Linked DNA regions of Sus scrofa. The protein of the gene in region 1 interacts with the protein of each later gene in a pairwise test. Links are inferred from orthologs where the notes say so. Each region holds a gene or a part of one and is shown on either strand. Other genes may lie near its edges.

Region 1 (4,247 bases):
GACTGCTCCTGGCTTCCTGACTCACTAACTCCGAATCAATAGTTCTGAGTGATGTTTCCTCAACACCCAGGCTGAATTCAAGGTCAGTCTTTTCGGCAGGTGACAGCCTTTCCCCTTAGGAAACAAAAAGAAAAAAAGCAATGTCCTCGTTGCGGGGCTCCCGTTTCCATCTCATGTGGCATGGGGCTCTGTGGTGATCTGCGGCGGCTTCCTACACAAGTCTTGGTAGAATTCAGACTCCAAGAAACGGGGATAAGAGTTGTTCTCCATCAAGCTGTACACCCTTTTCTGGGCAGTTGTAAAGCAGCCACTTGTAGCCTCTTGTATGTTTTGGGCAATGAGAGTTTTGGTTTGAAAGTCTATGTTTATCTGAAATGAAACAAAAATAGCGGTTTACTGCATATTCAGAGGTGGAGACTGACGTCTATGCGATACATGAAAGCAAATGAACAAGCAAAAGACCTCCAAAACCATGAGGGGCGGAAGAGGTGCCCCAGCCGCCCCCGTAGAAAGGTCATTCATCTCGCTGAAAGCCAGAGGGGAAAATATTTACCCCTCCTTTTAGCTTGAGGACTCTTCTATTCTTTCGTTTCACTCTGGTGCTAAGAATGTTCAACAGATACGGAAACAAGGACATTTTTTTTTCCTCCTTACCTCTTTTGGAGCTTCTTTTTCTATGAAGTCAGTGTATATTTTCCTGGCTTTGGAGGACAGCTTTTGGGGTGACTTTGTTTTTTTGAAGTCTTCACAGGCCAGCCAGAATTCAATATTTTCTTCACAGAATTCAGATTTCAAAAAAGCTCTGAATGCAGCAAGACCATCTGGGGGGCAGAGGAGAGGAAGCATGAAGAACGTGAACTGAGGGACCTCATAATCCCTTCACTTTTCTCCTAGGCCTCCCTGGCCCTGGCCCCCTAATTTTCTTATCTCTAGATGAAAGCAAGATTTCTAGATTTCACTCCCGCTTTAGAACTGAGCTCTTCAGAGACGAAGATGCCAGTCTGCAAAATGCTTAAGGTGGCGCCCTGCTGTGCTCAGCTTTGCTGTTGACCCAGCCGTTTACGGGGGAGCTTTGGTTCTCTGTGTGAACTAAGCCTCTTGAGAACACTGTATGCAATGGAAAAGCTGGCTCAAGCTTACACCAAGGGCCATTCCAGTTTGGCGCTGATTTTGCGTCCCACCTGGAGTGAATAAGCCCTGCGTTTCCAGGGATAATCCCCGGGAAACGGCGGGGGAAGAAACAGGCCTCAGATGCTGGAGACAGTAAAGTCAAACTCCCTGGGGCCGGATGCTCCTCCTTTCTAGACGCTTGGGCTCCTTGAAAAGGACCAAATTCAAGGGGTTAACTCACATTTGCTGGCTAGCAGCTCATCAAATGCTTCTGCCCACAGCTGTGCTTCCTCAGGAGAAGGCCTGCAAGAGACGGTCACATGTCAGCTCACACCTGTCTGTTTCCCCCTTCTGTTCAGCAGCTGGTGGCCTAGCTTTGCAAGGACTGAGATTTTCAACTTACTTGATGAAGGTTTGCGGTTTGCTTTTCTTGCCGGTTTTGGGCTTCCCAGGAGAGGAGGAGTTTTGCAAGAAGTAGCTCAAACGGGTCTTCCAATCTTTTAATCTTAAAGAAGAAAAAAAAAAAAAAAAAAAAAAAGACTTTTACTAAGTGCCAACACTTGAAATGGCCACACCACTGCAGCTAAAGGTTTTTTTTTTTTTTTTTTTTAAACCAAATAAAGTCACTCCCAGTAGCTACAGACAACGAAGTAAGACAAAACAGTCCTCCTTCAAGTCAGTCTTACCCCTTTAAAATATAAACCCAGCACCTATGCCTGGAACAGTTTCATCTACTCATCTGAACATAACTGCTAGTTTTATAACTACGCGTAGGATAACCTACAATTATAGGGTATTTAATGAATTTAGCTGGCATAGTTCAAAAGGCAGATGCTATTTCTGGCCCACAAAAGGCAGCAGCAGTTCTGCAATGTTAATTACAATTCTGAGACATTTCACACTTGATGAAACGGACAGTGGAACTGCCCGGAGCCAGCCATGGGTATTTCCCTTCCACCCTTAGAGCAGGAGGATCTGGACCACTCTAGAAGCTGTGAACAATGAGGTGAGGTGCGTGTGCGTGTGTGCGCGCGTGTGTGATCGCAACTACAACACCCATTTTAACCAGATGATGCAGAACAATTATTTGTTCCTTAGTGCTGGGTGGGTGAGATCTGTTGTTAAACTGGAAAAAAAAAAGATTTTAAAATAATATATTCAGAGCTAGCAAAAATATTTCCATCCCAGCAGCTGTGTAAGTTGATGAGAATTTACAATGCAACGTACGAATGCTGGGGACGCGCCTGGGCTGCAGGATTCTCTGGTGTCATTTTCGATGCGGGGAGATAAAAACCCAACCTGCGATTCCTCAGCTCATCTACCACCGCCTCTGCATCACGAATTTGCCGCAGTTCCTCGACTCTACCCTCGAGTCCTTCGGTTACATCACAAAGGACCCACCACATAGATTTAACCCTACCTAGCAAGTGTATCTTTTACACAATGTTTTCCCCTGCAGAGATGGAGGCACCGCTCCAGGGTGGAAGCCAAGCGCGGATGTACCGCGTTTGCAGCCGCCCGGGACAGCTAGGTCCGCGGGGCTGGCAGGGGAGAGAAGAAAGCCGTACTTACAGGGTCCGCTTCATCTTCTCCCGCTTCTCCTCGCTTTTGGGGCCGGTGCCTGCGCTCTTGTCCATGGGTCCGCAGTCGTGATGGACAGTCAGGAACATAGCACTTTGCATTATCGTCTACGCTCCCGGGTGCCCGCTCTCTGCTGCCAGGAGCGCGCCGCGGTATTTATAAGAGTCGGAGGCTCGTGGGCGGCGCCTCACGACGCTGGGCCCGCCTTCAGCGGGTGCCGATTGGCCGGCTGGCTCCGGGCCTGGGGCGGAGTCTGCGCAGTCCCGGGCACCGCCGAAGGGTCTGGAAGGGAGGGCGCCGCTGACGTTTGCGGCCGCAGCGTCGTGCGCAGGCGAGCCCCCCGCGGCGAGGCGCTGGGGCTGCTGGTGGGGGCCGAGGAGTTTCCCTTCGGGCAGCCGCCGGAGGCCTCTGCCGGCTTGGGGCGGCCGGCGGGGTGGCAGAGCTTGGGAGGCGTGGGGCGGGTTGGCTGCAGGCCCCGCGGGGCGCTCGCCCGCCCCTCCCCCTCCTCGCCTCCGTCCCCTCCCCCACGCGCACTTGCTCCGGACCCCAAAGGGAGGGGGGAGTCCCCAGCAGGTCAAGGTTACTTGCTGGGAACCTGAGTGCAGTTACTCGGTTTTGAATTCGGATGTGTTCCCTCTTTTTTTGGAGCGCACACCCTCTCCCCGCGCCTCCTTTCTTGGTCTGTAAACTGAGGCCGCGGGGAGATGCTCACCTGCTCCTCTTTTCGTCACCGATTCATTGGCGGAAGGAAAGGGAGAAGGGGGGGCGGCGCAGGGGCGGGCGGTGTGACCTGCTCTGCAGCTTCCCTGGACAACTTGGAGAACGTTTGGGAGGGACGTCGTCGGTCAGGGGAAGGAACAGGAGAAGAAGTGCTTTACCTGGGTGTGCAGTTTTAGTCACCAACACACACGAGGCTGGGTCGGTCCTTGGGGTTGCGTGCTCCTCCTCTGGAGTACTTGGCTGCTTGTCCTTAGGGAACACACGGGGAAGTCACAGATCTCCTTCTCAGGACGTAGAGGGAAACACCAGGACCTCGCAGCTGTCATTTTAGTGTAAGAATGCAAAGATGCAGGATTTCCTCATGAGTCATTCTTAGTCGGCCTAGAATTTACCAGAACATTTACTTGGCAAAAAGGAGAGGTGGGGGTGGAGGGAAGGCTAGGTTAACAGTTTGCTTGAAGGAGCTTAATTTGCTAAATTCTTCAGAAATTGTCCTGCTGTAGCACGATTTAAACGGTTTGATTGGTAAGGACGAGTAGGTGACCTCAACCCCGGTGTGATCGGATAGCGAACAATTTTATTAGATCTGTGCAGTGGAATGTTCAAGGGGTTTTCCTGCCAAGCATCGAAGTAGCAGGGAGATGAACCACAAGGTATTAGGCTGCAGAATTCTCTCTCCTTTGCATTAGAACTGTTAAAAGAAAATTGGAACTGGTTTACCATATTCTGATGAGGAGCTGCCAGTAGCTGGAGCTCCAGGATTGACTTGGAGAGCAAAACGTTTCTATTACTAAAGAGAACAGCCATGTACTCAGCTATGGAGAGGAAGATCGTTT
Region 2 (4,225 bases), on another chromosome or scaffold:
GGACACAGCACTGTCTGTGGCCTAGACAAGTGGAAGGTGCACACATCATATGACCCAGTATCTTCCTGGACTTCTGCTTCTGCACTAGAGAAACACCTGCAAGAAGCTGGCAGAGACAAGGATATTTACCGTAGTGGTGGTGAGGACAGTGAAAAAGCAAAAACCACTTAACTGTCCCTTAGTAGATAAATACACGGTGCATTTAAGATGAATGACCTGGAGCTGTCAGTATCAACATAAATCAGTCTCACAGACACAAGTGAAAAGGATACACGTGGAATACAGTTGGTCAATTTTAATCACATTATTCATGGGCTGATACAAAGTATTAAAAAAACAGGAAAAAAAAAATCAACCCCAACCATGCAGGAAAATTATAAAGAGATGAGCAGACTGGAGTCCTTCAGCCATCAGTAAGACTTGAAGAGCAAAGAAGCTGAAAGTTGCTGCCTGCAGAACAGAGCTGTAGCCAGGAGGGAAGGCACTCCTGCTGGGAAGCCCCTCCTCCCCACCCCAGTCCTTGAGCACTGTGAAAAAGGGATGGGGATGAGGCCTGAGCTTTAATATGGGATTGGTTAAGTCTAAATATTTAATGACAATTGATCCCTGGATTCCCCTCCGGCCCAAGCTAGGTGGGATGGGAACATTCCAGCCATGGAAGGAGTCAGGAGTCTCTCCACCCTCCCTTGCTTGGGCAGCATGAGCTGAGAGGAGGACAGGAGACCAGGCATAGACTGCTTCCCAGTGGCCTCCACCTGCATGTGCCTCAACTAGATTCATCAACTACTTTCAACCCTGACAGCTCTACACAGGAAGCTAAATGACATCCAAGTGTCCAATCACAATCCTCCTTGACCTACAAGATTTCCATTGCTTTATAGTTTGACCTCCCATGTTTCCAGTACTTTATGTCAAGATAAAAAACAAAAACAAGCAGCAGACACTGAGTCCTTCTCTCCTAAGGACAGGGATATTTAAACACAACCACAACTCATCCCCACATTTAAGAAAACCACCCAAGAGATGTTCCAGGATTCACCTGAAAGTGATCTTCTTTCACTTCTCAACCCAAATGCCCATGGTAACACAAGATCTCTCTTAGCCCTAAACTGTGTGTGACTTCCTACTCCAACTCCCAGGGCTAGTAGCCAGGGAAAGGGCCAGTCTACAAGGAGGACCTCAGTTCAAGCTGGTGAATCAGCAGGAGGCAGGTGTTCCTGGAGCCTAAGGGCTTCTACCCTCACCACCTGACCAGTTCAGAAACAGGGCTGTCCTGACCCAGCATCATGGGAGGTACGTGGAGCCAGGGCTATGTCTGGCCGGCACTGCCCCTGGGCCTGTGAAGCCCCCAGGTAAGGGATCTGCACCTTTCCACTCAGCAGCACCCCAGCTCTGGGACCAATGCCCCCAATAGGTTGGGGCGAATCCTTTCGCCAGATGCCTTCAACTCTTTGAGAAAGTCACACAGAGTGAAGGCAGCCCAGCCCCTGATCTCTACAGAGCTTAAAGGCACTAGGTCACCATCACCAGCGCCAACAGGAAACAATTCTCCATGAAGTTAAGGATGTCAGGGAGAAAAGGAAAGTAGCCTTTACCGAACCAGACATCCTTCTAAGGCTCTTCCTCTTAGGGCTCTGCATCCATAGATTCAACTGAGGTGAACGCCCTTCAGCTGCATTCCCCTCTAGTGGAGACAGCTGAGGATCAGGCTTTCCAAAGGTCTCCCTTTGAACACCCCACCCCCACCCCCGCCCCCGCGTATGAGTTACTGTCCTCCCCACACCAGCCAACCGGCCTCCTCAGTCCCTGGGGACGGGATTGGGGCCCATTACGCAAGCAAATCCAACTCACGTCTACCTGGACAGCCCGCTGACTCCCCAAACTCAGCCACCCTAAGACGCTCCTTCTCCCAGGCTTCCAGGGTCATTAAGTGAGGGAGGAGGCGATGCCCAAGGACTCTGCCCTGCCTTCCCCTCCCCCACAGCACCATGGGCCCAAGCGGATTTCCCTTCCCTAGCAGTCCAGGAACAGAGTCTGCACCCCTCTCCCCTCCACTCCCCCAGGGTCCCGGGCCCTACAGTCTCCTGTCCCCCCCCCCCGCCCCAGTTTCTCCTCCCACCCAAGGATTTAACTCTTCCGGTGGGTCCCACCCTGCCCCACCCAGGGCCAGGTTCCAGCTTCCCAATTTCTGTCTTCTGGGGACCCTGGAACCGTGTGTAGTTGTGCAAACAAGCTGCCCGGGGAAAACCCTTTTGGAAAAAGAAAACATCTAAAGCGGACGCAGGCAAATAATATCCACTCAGCAATTTGCTGAGGAAACTGAGGCCCAGCAGCTCACAAGCGGCTCCCGGGGTGCAGCCGAAAGTCAGTGGGTCGGGGCTGAGCTTTTCCTCGCAGGCTCCTCCCTCGGGCTCCCCCGCAAACTGCCCAGCCCCGCCGTACTGCCCCACCCCACCCCTCACCCCGGCCCGACACCGCGGTCAGGCCGGCCCGGGGTCCGAACACAGCCGGAGCTGGGGTGGGGTCCGGCCGCATGCGTGGGGGTTGTTTTTGCTCTTCTCACCAGAGCCACGACCGGGAGTGCGCGGGGGCCGCCCAGCTCGCCTCTCCGTTTCCGCCGGCCCTGGGACACCGCCGGGGCCCGGCAGAGGTACAAGCCAGCCGGTCTCCCCATCCCTCTGCCCCAGGTCACTTCCGCCGGGGGGGCACCGCATCCGTACGCACTCACCGCGCTCCGCCGCCGCCGCCGCCGAGGGCCTAGGTCTGCAGCCTCCGAGCGCTCGGGCAGGTTCTGACGCCCGAACAGCCAGCCGCCTTAGCTTCCCAGAGCCGCCCCCGCGCTAAGTACCGCACCAGGCCCCGCCCGCGCCCTCCTCCGCCTGACTCGCCACGTGACCAGGGCAGCTGGCGCCGCGCCCCGCCCCCACCGGGTCCCCAGCAGCCTGGGAAGGGCTCAGAACCTTCCTCATCCGCCTGTACCCCTCAGTGCCCCAAGTTCTGCGTTCTGCGAGCGGAAGGGCACGCGAGGTGGGCCTGAGAGGGAGAGGGTCACCCCTCCTGGAGAAATTCCCTGGGGCCGAGGGGGTCTGGGCCCAGCGCAGCAGAGGACACGGATCCCTGCTTGGGACAGCTGTTCCTTATTTCATTCATTCAGAAACCACTGCCACAGATGGGGGTGTCATGACAGCAGGCCTCCCAGAAGAGCCTTAAAAGGCTGTTAGCTTGAATGTGCCTATCAGATGTTCTAGATATGTAAGAATTTTTAAGCGGTAGCTAAAACTAAATATAGAACTACCATATCCAGCAATCCCACTCCTGGGCCTGTATCCAGAAAACCATCCTAAAGATACCATGCACCCCAGTGTTCACTGGAGCACTATTTACAATAGCCAAGACATGGAAGTAACCTGAATGTCTATGAATAGAGGATTGGCTAAAGAAGACATAGTGTGGGAGTTCCCGCTGTGGTGCAGTGGGTTAAGAATCTGACTGCAGTAGCTTGGGTCCTTCTGGAGGTACGGCTTTGATCCCAGCCCAGCACAGTGGGTAAAGGATCCAGGGCTGATGCAGCTGCAGCTCGGATTCAGTCCCTGGCCTGGAACTTACATATACCGCAGATGCAGCTGTGGGCGAAAAAAAGATGTGATACATATATGCAATGGACTATTACTCAGCCATTAAAAAAAAAAAAGAATGAAAAATGCCATTTGCAGCAACATGGATGGGCCTAGAAATGACCATACTAAGTGAAGTCAGAGAAAGAAATATATGAGATCACTAATATGTGGAATCTAATAAAAAATGATACAAAAGAACTTACAAAACAATTTGCTTTGAAAATCTTGAGTCTCTGATTACCAAAGGAGAGGTGGGGGGGGATAAAATAGGAAATTGGGATTGACATATATGCATTACTGTGTATAAAATAGAAAGGTGACAAGGACATACTTTATAGCAGAGGGATATCTACACAATACTGTATAGAGATATATGGGAAAAGAATCTGTGAATTTTTTCTTTTTAGGGCTGCCCTTGCAGCATATGGACATTCCCAGGCTAGCGGTCTAATGGGAGCCGCAGCTGCCCTGCCCACCTATGCCACAGGTTCAAGCTGTGTCCCTGATCCATGCCACAGCTCAAGGCAGAGGCCGGATCCTTAACCCATTGAGTGGGGCCAGGGCTTGGACTCGCATCGTCAAGGATACTGGTCAGGTTCCGTACCACT
Region 3 (4,142 bases), on another chromosome or scaffold:
GCCTGCTCGTGGACTTCCAAGGGACCAGGCATGATGCTTCTGGTTCCAGCTCTCCTTTGATACCCAGGTCCCCCCACAACTCAGTCAACCCCCTCAGCTGCTGCTTTGGAGCTGTGGGGTCTCAGCTGCCTCTTACATTCCTGCCCTGGAGCATTATGGGAGCAGCTGGAGGACAAAAGGATGGGGGAGTATCCCCCATACTCCTCCTACCTCCTGGGGTGACCTGGCTTCCCTGTCTTTAGGCCCGCCCTCATCTCCAAGGCAACTCAGCCTTTTCCTCAGCCCTGGGCTCTTTCTTCAGAAATTGGGAACTGGGGATAGCAGGGTCTTAGGAAGGGAAGGCATAGCAGGGAGAGGGGATGGGATGCTTTGGACCTGATGACAGAAGGGGTAAGGGTGTGAAGGGTGGCCCTAGGGGTCCCCAAGGATTCCAGGGCCTGGAGGACTCAGTGAAGACCTCTGTTGGGAAGAGGACTGGTCAGGACTGCTTTTCCTGAGGCTGGGGAGGGTAGATACCTAGGTTCATAAGAACTAGTCGTTGGGAGTTCCCGTCGTGGCGCAGTGGTTAATGAATCTGACTAGGAACCATGAGGTTGCGGGTTCGATCACTGGCCTTGCTCAGTGGGTTAACGATCTGGCGTTGCGTGAGCTGTGGTGTAGGTTGCAGACGCGGCTCGGATCCCGCGTTGCTGTGGCTCTGGCGTAGGCCGGTGGCTACAGCTCCGATTAGACCCCTAGCCTGGGAACCTCCATATGCCACGGGAGTGGCCCAAAGAAATAGCAAAAAAAGAAAAAAAAAAAAAAAAAAAAAAAAAAAAACTAGTCGTTGGAATGGTTTTGCGGGGAGGTGGGGCAGGGAGGGGCGGCAAGCTGCCTGGGCACCAGTGAAGAAGAGTGAGGATTCTCAAGCTTTAATAGGCACAGATAACCTGGAGATTGTGTTAAAATGCAGATTCTGATTCAGCAGGTCCAGGGTGGGACCTGAGATTCTGCATTTCTCCCAAGTGCCCAGATGTTACTGAGGCTACTGGGTCAGGAACCAGAAGGGCTATAGAGAACATTGAGATTGGAAGGTGCTGGGTTCCCCCACTTCTCTTAGAATTAAGTTCCTAGGTGGGGAGGGGACCAGAGTTCAGCTCAGTCTTTGGCACATGGGAAACAGTCTAAAAATTATCCCAATTATCACTGCAATTATCCCAAAGCAGCCCATTCTATTTGTCTCTTGTTGGCTGTGACTCAGTTTCCCTGATTGCCCTTTAACTTACTCCCCCCCCAATACCCCTTATGTTCCCTGCAGAGATGCTGCCCCCACCCCCTTAGGCCCGAGGGAATAGGAGCTATGGGGCCAAGGGCCCTCTCATCTCTACTGCTACTGCTGCTGCTCTTGGTGGCAACGGGAGATGCTGACATGAAGGGACATTTTGACCCTGGTGAGGAGACTGGCTCTTGGGTCCCTGAGGGATGGGGCTTGGGAGACCGAGTCAGGAGCCATGACCCTCTGTATGCCTGTGTTCACCCAGCCAAGTGCCGCTATGCCTTGGGCATGCAGGACCGGACCATCCCAGATGGTGACATCTCTGCCTCCAGCTCCTGGTCAGACTCCACTGCGGCTCGCCACAGCAGGTATCTGGCATACCTGGGGCTGCCCCAGAGGGAGCACCTGGGGCCTCCACTCACCCTTCCAACTCTCTGCCCAAGCCAAGAGGCTTATGAGAGGGCCAATGCCAATAAAACCCCCACAGTACTGGGCGGGGGCAAGGGACTTTAAATACTGGAGACTGAGGCAGACCTCAGGCCAGGTGTTCCCTGTGACCTCCTGCCTCCTCCCAGGCTGGAAAGCAGTGACGGAGATGGGGCATGGTGCCCTGCAGGGCCAGTGTTTCCCAAGGAGGAGGAATACCTGCAGGTGGACTTGCGGCGGCTGCACCTGGTGGCGCTGGTGGGCACCCAGGGGAGGCACGCGGGGGGCCTGGGCAAGGAATTCTCCCCCAGCTACCGGCTGCGTTATTCCCGAGACGGCCTCCGCTGGATGGACTGGAGGGACCGCTGGGGCCAGGAGGTAAGGCTGGCAGGGGCAGCGCCCAGGGAAGGCTGGCTCTGCTCTCCCCTCCAGCTGTACTGCCTATGCACTGATGACTTGTAATGTCTCCCCTCTCCAGCCCAGGCACCCCCCTGAGCTCCAGCTAGTGTTGCAGACCTGACCACTCTCCACCTAGATGTCTAATGGGCATCTCAAACTTCCATAAACTTCTCAAGCTGAACTTGAGTCCCATTCCCACCCTAAACCTGTTCCTCCCCCAGCATTCCCCAGCAAGTGGTACTGCCGTATGTCCAGTTGCTTAGGCCAAAGCTAAGATGATATCCTTGATTCCTTTTTTTCTCTCACCTTCTACTTCCAAAGCATTATTTAGCGTAATTTAGCAAGGCCAGGCTGTTCTAGCTCCATGATGTTTCCTGAATCCAACCCCTTCTTACCACTTCTACCTCTATGGCCCTAGGCTGGGCCCCTACCAGCTTAGATCAGTGCAGCAGTCACCAAACTGTTCTCCCAGTTTCTTTCTTTCTTTCTTTTTTTTTTTTTTTTTTTTTTTTTTTTTGGCCTTTTTAGGGCCAAACCCACAGCATATGGAACTTCCCAGGCTAGGGGATGAATTGGAGCTGTAGCTGCCAGCCTACACCATAGCCACAGCAACACGAGATCCAAGCCATATCTGCGACCTACACCACAGCTCACGGCAACGCTGGATTCTTAACCCACTGAGCGAGGCCAAGGATCGAACCTGCATCTTCATGGATCCTAGTCGGGTTCGTTACCACTGAGCCACAATGGGAACTCCCTAGCTTCTTTCTCTCCTGAAGTTAAATCTCCACCTGGAGGCTATATCCAGGGTACTGGAGAAAATGCAAATCTGATGCCTCACACCTGGCTCACAGCCCTCTGCTGGCTTTCCTTGCTGCCAGAACAAAAGCTGAGCTCCTTCCTCAGTACAGAGGCTTAGCTTGTGTTGGCTCCTGTCCACTTCCCTTACTCCTCTCACTCTAACCGGAGCCATGCTGCTTTTCTCACTGTTCCTGGAATAAGCTAGGGCTCCAGACACTTTCACTTGCTGTTCTTGGTGCCTGGAAAGCTCCTCCTCTAGCTGTCCACAGGCGCTTCCTCTCTCCATTCAATTCTCCCCCAAGATGTCACCTCCTCAGGAAACCTTTTCTGACTCCCCACTTCCCGCTGCTCTGGCCCCACATGCTGCCTCTTGTTTCTCCTACTGGACTCTCAGTCCCACTGGAGGGACTGATGCTCACCACCGAAAATGTGCCTGCCTGGGCAGAGTGGGCGCTCAGCCAGCATCTGCTGAGTGAACAGAGGGATCAGGGTGAAGGAAGAGGGGAACCCAGAGCAGAGGTGCAGAGCCTAGAGGGACTGGGCAGAATCGAATCTGGGAACAGGGGAATGAATAGCTTAGAGACAAGTGGGTGGAGCCAGGCAAGGGGTAGGAGAGCTAATGCTGGAGGTCAGGACAGCCATCAGGCTGAGAGAGGAGTCAGAGGGCTTTGCTGCAGCCCTTTGGCATACAAATGCCTGCCTGTATCGCACAGCCCTGGGTACTCAGTGCCACCTTTCCTGCATCTCTTTGTGGCCTAGGGAGCAGCTAGGGGCTGGGAAGTTAGATCCTATTCGGAGCCCTCTCCACCCATCCACTTCCTGCATCCTGCTCCACAGGTGATCTTAGGTAATGAGGATCCTGGGGGAGTGGTGCTGAAGGACCTTGGACCCCCCATGGTGGCCCGAATGGTTCGCTTCTATCCCCGGGCGGACCGAGTCATGAGCGTCTGTCTGCGGGTGGAGCTCTATGGCTGCCTCTGGAAGGGTGAGTTGTTCAGACCCCTGAGGATCCCTTCCTGTCCTGGGGACTGGGAAGTGGGGACAGCAGGGAGGGGCGTTCAGGATCCTCCTTCTCCTGTTGGGAAGCTATCACTCTGAGTAACAAGGGGACTTGCCTCCTCTGTGCCAGCAGCCTACGGAGGGATATGAGAAAGGGGCCTGAAAGCCATTCAGGCCCAATGCAGGGGTGGGGGATGGAGGCTCCGTGCCCCTAACACCCCTCCTTCCCCTGCCCCAGATGGACTCCTGTCTTACACGGCCC
Region 4 (4,271 bases), on another chromosome or scaffold:
CATGAAGAATTTCCCAAGGCAGGTACTGAATCCGCGCCACAGCGGTAACAAGCCTTAACCGCCAGGCCACTAGGAAGCTCCCGATATAATTTTAAACAGCACTTTATTTTTTTTGTCTTTCTAGGACCGCACCCACGGCATATGGAGGTTCCCAGGCTAGGGGTCCAATCGGAGCTGTAACCGCCGGCCTACACCGCAGCCAAAGCAATGCCGGATCCCAGCCGTCTCTGCGACCTATACCACAGCTCAGGGCAATGCCAGATCGTTAACCCACAGAGCAAGGCCAGGGATCGAACCCGCAACCTCATGGTTCCTAGTCGGATTCGTTAACCACTGAGCCATGATGGGAACTCCTCTAATAGTTGAGAGTCTCTGATTTCAGAGAAAATGTCTCAGTCATTCAAGAAAGGGGGACGTTATGACATTTTAAAGTTGCAGCTTATCCCTTGGGAGAAAGATTTTTTTTTCTGTTAGATTTGCAGATTTTTACTCTCAGTTGGTACTAATTTTTTACCATCCCCAAACCTCAATGTGAGGAAATAAAAACTAAGCCCTTACCTCCACTTTCCAAAACAGAGTTCTGCTTAAAGATTGTTAGTTTTGGGAATTCCCGTCGTGGCTAACGATCAGGCGTTGCCGTGACCTATGGTATAGGTCGCAGACGAGGCTCGGATCCCGAGTTGCTGTGGCTGTGGTGTAGGCCGGCGGCTACAGCTCCTTTTAGACCCCTATCCTGGGAACCTCCATATTCCGCGTGTGCGGCCCTAGAAAAGACAAAAAAAAAAAAAAAAAAGATTGTCACTTTTGGAGTTCTCCGTCCTGGTTCAGCAGAAACGAATCTGACTAGCACCCCTGAGGACGCAGGTTCGATCCCTGGCCTCGCTCAGTGGATTAAGGATCTGGGTTGCCCTGCGCTGTGGCGTACGTCGCAGGCTTGCCTCAGATCCCACATGGGATCTGGGGAAAAAAAAAAAAAAAAAAGTCGGTTTTATTTTCCCAGAATTCGTCCTTTTTATACTCAAGGTTGATGTGCCTCATATGAGCGACTTGAATCATTCCTGATATATGTTTTCTTTCTTGTTTTGCTTTTTAGGGCTGCACCCGCGGCATATGGAGGTTCCCAGGCTAGGGGTCCAATCGGAGCTACAGGCGCTGGCCTACGCCACAGCCTCAGCAAGGTGGGGTCCGAGCCGCCTCTGCGACAGCTCACGGCAACGCCACATCTTTACCCCACTGAGCAAGGCCAGGGATCAAACCGCCAACCTCAGGGTTCCTAGTCGGATTCGTTAACCGCTGAGCCACGACGGGAACTCCTAGATTTCATTTCTTAAAAGCAAAACCAGCTGGCGCAGTGGGGGAATTTTTACATTTCCTGCTCTCTACGCTCCCAGAAATGGCCTTTATCCGGATCCGACCTGCCGCGTGCTGGTGACGCAAATGCTGCGCCGGAAGTGCGAGCCGGATCCGGATCTCCGTTATGGCGGCTGCCGAGGCGCGGTGGAATCATGTGTGGGTCGGCACCGACACCGGCATCCTGAAAGGTGAGTGATGGGCCTGGGCGTCTGGAACCGCGGGGGTCATGCGTTCGCGACCCCGGCGTAACTGACGTCCCCGGACCGCAGGGGTGAACCTTCAGCGCAAACAAGCGGTAAACTACACGGCGGCGGGACAGCCGCAGCGCGAGGAGGCGGTGAGCGCCCTGTGCTGGGGCGCGGGCGGCGAGACCCAGGTGAGCGACCTCTAACTGTGCTGGAGCAGGGGGGATGCTGAGGCGTGGCAGCCTCGCTCCTCTTGCCATCCTGCCCTGCTCTCTCTGCCTGCAGATCCTAGTCGGCTGTGCCGATAGGACAGTGAAGCTCTTCAGCACCGAGGAGGGCAGGTTCCAGGGCCAGAGGCACTGCCCCGGAGGCGAGGGCACCTTCCGAGGCCTCGCCCAGGTTGACGGGTAAGACCGAGACCCTTGCCGTATGCTCAGGTATAGGCAGATAGTTGAAGCTCCCGCACGACGGTCGATCAATGGGGATCAAGTCTTAGGTGACAGGAGCCTGATCTGTGTGACAGGGACATTTGTCCTGCCTTCGTTCCTTCATTTCTATAATAAGCATTTATTGAATACCTACTGGATTACAGGCATTGGACGAAATTCAAGGGCTGCAGGTAAACTGGACACAGTACCTGCCTTCCTAGAGTCTGCATCCTCAAGGGTTGTTCTTTTGGGTCCATGACTTTTTAGGTGACCCTGAGCAAGTCATTTAATAGTTTAGAGTATGTTCTCATTTGTGTCTTATATCACCTAGAGTGTGTTTTTAGATGGGGGCTACCAACCACCAAATCGGTAAAGCTCCCACAGTAAAGGATAGGAAAGTGATAAGTTACAGGCTTAGCTTTCTTCGGAAGATGGACGGGCTATGAACAGGCTGTGTAGTTTTGGTGATGTTAATTCTGACAAGTGAGATCTAGAAGGCGCTGTGGGGTGAGATCTTTGAACTGGGTCTGGAATGATGGGTAGAACTTTGACAGATGGAGAAGCGGGTAAGGGCACTCTAGAAAGAGGCTACTGCCCGAGCAGAGGTAAGGACTGGTGTCAGGCTACAGGATACATCATGGGAAAGAGAAATAAATAGCGTTTGGGGATTGAAGCCGAGAAGCATTTTAATATGAGATGGGCAAGGTAGGTTGGGATTAAAGGTAAAAAAAAAGGGTTTTAAGTGCCAGGCTGAGAGATTTGCACTTCTGTATGTGGTGGGGAGTTATGGTTTTTGAGTAGGAAGTGTGGTGGTCAGAGCTGTGAGCCCTGCAGGATTATGGAGGATGGGTTGGAGAGACAGCAGTTGGAGATTGTTACCATAGCCCAGAGCCTGATCCAAGGTGGGGAGGGTGGGCAGATATGAGAAAGGGCATAGATTTGGTTTGTGCAGATGCTGGAGAGAGACTTGTTTGGGCTTCATGGGAAATATACTTGGGGGAGAGATTGAAATTTAGCATCCAGTTAACCAAGGACAGGGAACTTGAGAACAGCTGGTATTTGACTTTGGCCAGACATTAAACCCAAAGCAGTCCCATTACTGTCCTTTCAGAGCCACTGATCCTGACCCCTGGTGATCGGCTGAAGATTCAGAAAGACCAGCAGGGCCAGGTGCCCCACATGTAGCTATGGAATAGCAAAAGCTCTCTGCTTTGGAGTATCACAGGCTTGATTTTTAGCCCTGGTTCTGACATCAATAGCTGAGTGGCAAATCTTTTAATTTTCAGAGCTTCAGGCTCTTCACCCTATTGAAATTAAATAACAGCCATAAAACCCTGCTGTAGACCTGAGTTACCGAGAGGCTTCTTTAGTAACAGGGTTGGTAGGAGGAAGTCTAGTTCGTATGAATTTGGGTCTGGGTTGACTAGGGCCAGAGAACACGTTGAAACTTTTTTTTTTTGTCTTTTTAAGGCCACACCTGCGGCATATGGAGGTTCCCAGGCTAGGGGTCCAGTTGGAGTTGCAGCTGCCAGCCTACAACACAGCAACACCAGATCAGAGTCACATCTGCAACCTACACCATAGCTCATGGCAATGCCAGATCCTTAACCCAGTGAGCAAGGCCAGGGATTGAACCCACATCCTCACGGATACCAGTGGGGTTCATTACCACTGAGCCACAACAGAAACTCCCTGGCACTTTTTTTTAACCTAAGCCTATCCTCCCTCTTCCTTGCAGCACCCTCATCACGTGTGTGGAATCTGGGATACTTCGAGTGTGGCATGACAATGACAAGGAAGCATCCTCTGACCCAGTGAGGCTCCCCTGCTCAGATCCTGATGGTTGGGGAAGGTGGGGCCCAGGGTAGGAGCCACATGAAGGCTTTGGGGGAGGAGGATTAAGGACTCAGGAACTGACTTTCATCTCGCATTCTTTTCAGCTCCTAGAACTGAGAGTGGGCCCTGGGGTGTGTAGGATGCGCCAGGACCCATCTCGCCCCCATGTGGTTGCCACGGGTGGGAAGGAGAATGCTTTGAAGGTGTGGGACCTGCAGGGGTCTGAGGAGCCTGTGTTCAAGGCCAAGAACGTGAGTGACGGTGGGTGGGAAGGGGCCGGGTCTAAGATCCAGGGAGGCTTCGGCCAAAGACTGTGAGTCAGAGACCAGATTGGCTTTAGGGGATAACGATGGAGGGTGGGAGGAAGGGGCACTCTGAGCCCCCCACAACCCTGACCCTCATCTACCTGCCCCACCAGGTGCGGAATGATTGGCTTGACCTGAGAGTTCCCATCTGGGACCAGGACATA

The links.
Region 2: the proteins of RGS2 (region 1) and CTSB interact in a two-hybrid assay, tested with the Homo sapiens proteins (2 studies listed by BioGRID and IntAct). The link is inferred for Sus scrofa from reciprocal best matches to the Homo sapiens genes RGS2 and CTSB.
Region 3: the proteins of RGS2 (region 1) and DDR1 interact in a two-hybrid assay, tested with the Homo sapiens proteins (2 studies listed by BioGRID and IntAct). The link is inferred for Sus scrofa from reciprocal best matches to the Homo sapiens genes RGS2 and DDR1.
Region 4: the proteins of RGS2 (region 1) and WDR74 interact in a two-hybrid assay, tested with the Homo sapiens proteins (2 studies listed by BioGRID and IntAct). The link is inferred for Sus scrofa from reciprocal best matches to the Homo sapiens genes RGS2 and WDR74.

The regions. Positions count from the first base shown.
Region 1 is NC_010452.4:937,276-941,522, forward strand, and holds the start of RGS2 (regulator of G-protein signaling 2), read right to left. Parts: upstream 2,809-4,247; 5' UTR 2,793-2,808; coding exon 2,683-2,792; intron 1,616-2,682; coding exon 1,514-1,615; intron 1,414-1,513; coding exon 1,352-1,413; intron 822-1,351; coding exon 655-821; intron 370-654; coding exon 172-369; 3' UTR 1-171. UniProt on the Homo sapiens protein: Regulates G protein-coupled receptor signaling cascades. Inhibits signal transduction by increasing the GTPase activity of G protein alpha subunits, thereby driving them into their inactive GDP-bound form.
Region 2 is NC_010456.5:15,031,949-15,036,173, forward strand, and holds the start of CTSB (cathepsin B precursor), read right to left. Parts: upstream 2,804-4,225; 5' UTR 2,729-2,803; exon of another isoform or gene 2,715-2,728; coding exon of another isoform or gene 2,564-2,714; intron 1,925-2,563; exon of another isoform or gene 1,858-1,924; intron 1-1,857. UniProt on the Homo sapiens protein: Thiol protease which is believed to participate in intracellular degradation and turnover of proteins. Cleaves matrix extracellular phosphoglycoprotein MEPE. Involved in the solubilization of cross-linked TG/thyroglobulin in the thyroid follicle lumen.
Region 3 is NC_010449.5:23,379,133-23,383,274, forward strand, and holds the start of DDR1 (epithelial discoidin domain-containing receptor 1 precursor), read left to right. Parts: upstream 1-1,339; coding exon 1,340-1,430; intron 1,431-1,520; coding exon 1,521-1,623; intron 1,624-1,830; coding exon 1,831-2,059; intron 2,060-3,718; coding exon 3,719-3,866; intron 3,867-4,118; coding exon 4,119-4,142. UniProt on the Homo sapiens protein: Tyrosine kinase that functions as a cell surface receptor for fibrillar collagen and regulates cell attachment to the extracellular matrix, remodeling of the extracellular matrix, cell migration, differentiation, survival and cell proliferation.
Region 4 is NC_010444.4:8,930,062-8,934,332, forward strand, and holds the start of WDR74 (WD repeat-containing protein 74), read left to right. Parts: upstream 1-1,468; 5' UTR 1,469-1,477; coding exon 1,478-1,541; intron 1,542-1,622; coding exon 1,623-1,729; intron 1,730-1,823; coding exon 1,824-1,945; intron 1,946-3,704; coding exon 3,705-3,780; intron 3,781-3,906; coding exon 3,907-4,053; intron 4,054-4,220; coding exon 4,221-4,271. UniProt on the Homo sapiens protein: Regulatory protein of the MTREX-exosome complex involved in the synthesis of the 60S ribosomal subunit. Participates in an early cleavage of the pre-rRNA processing pathway in cooperation with NVL.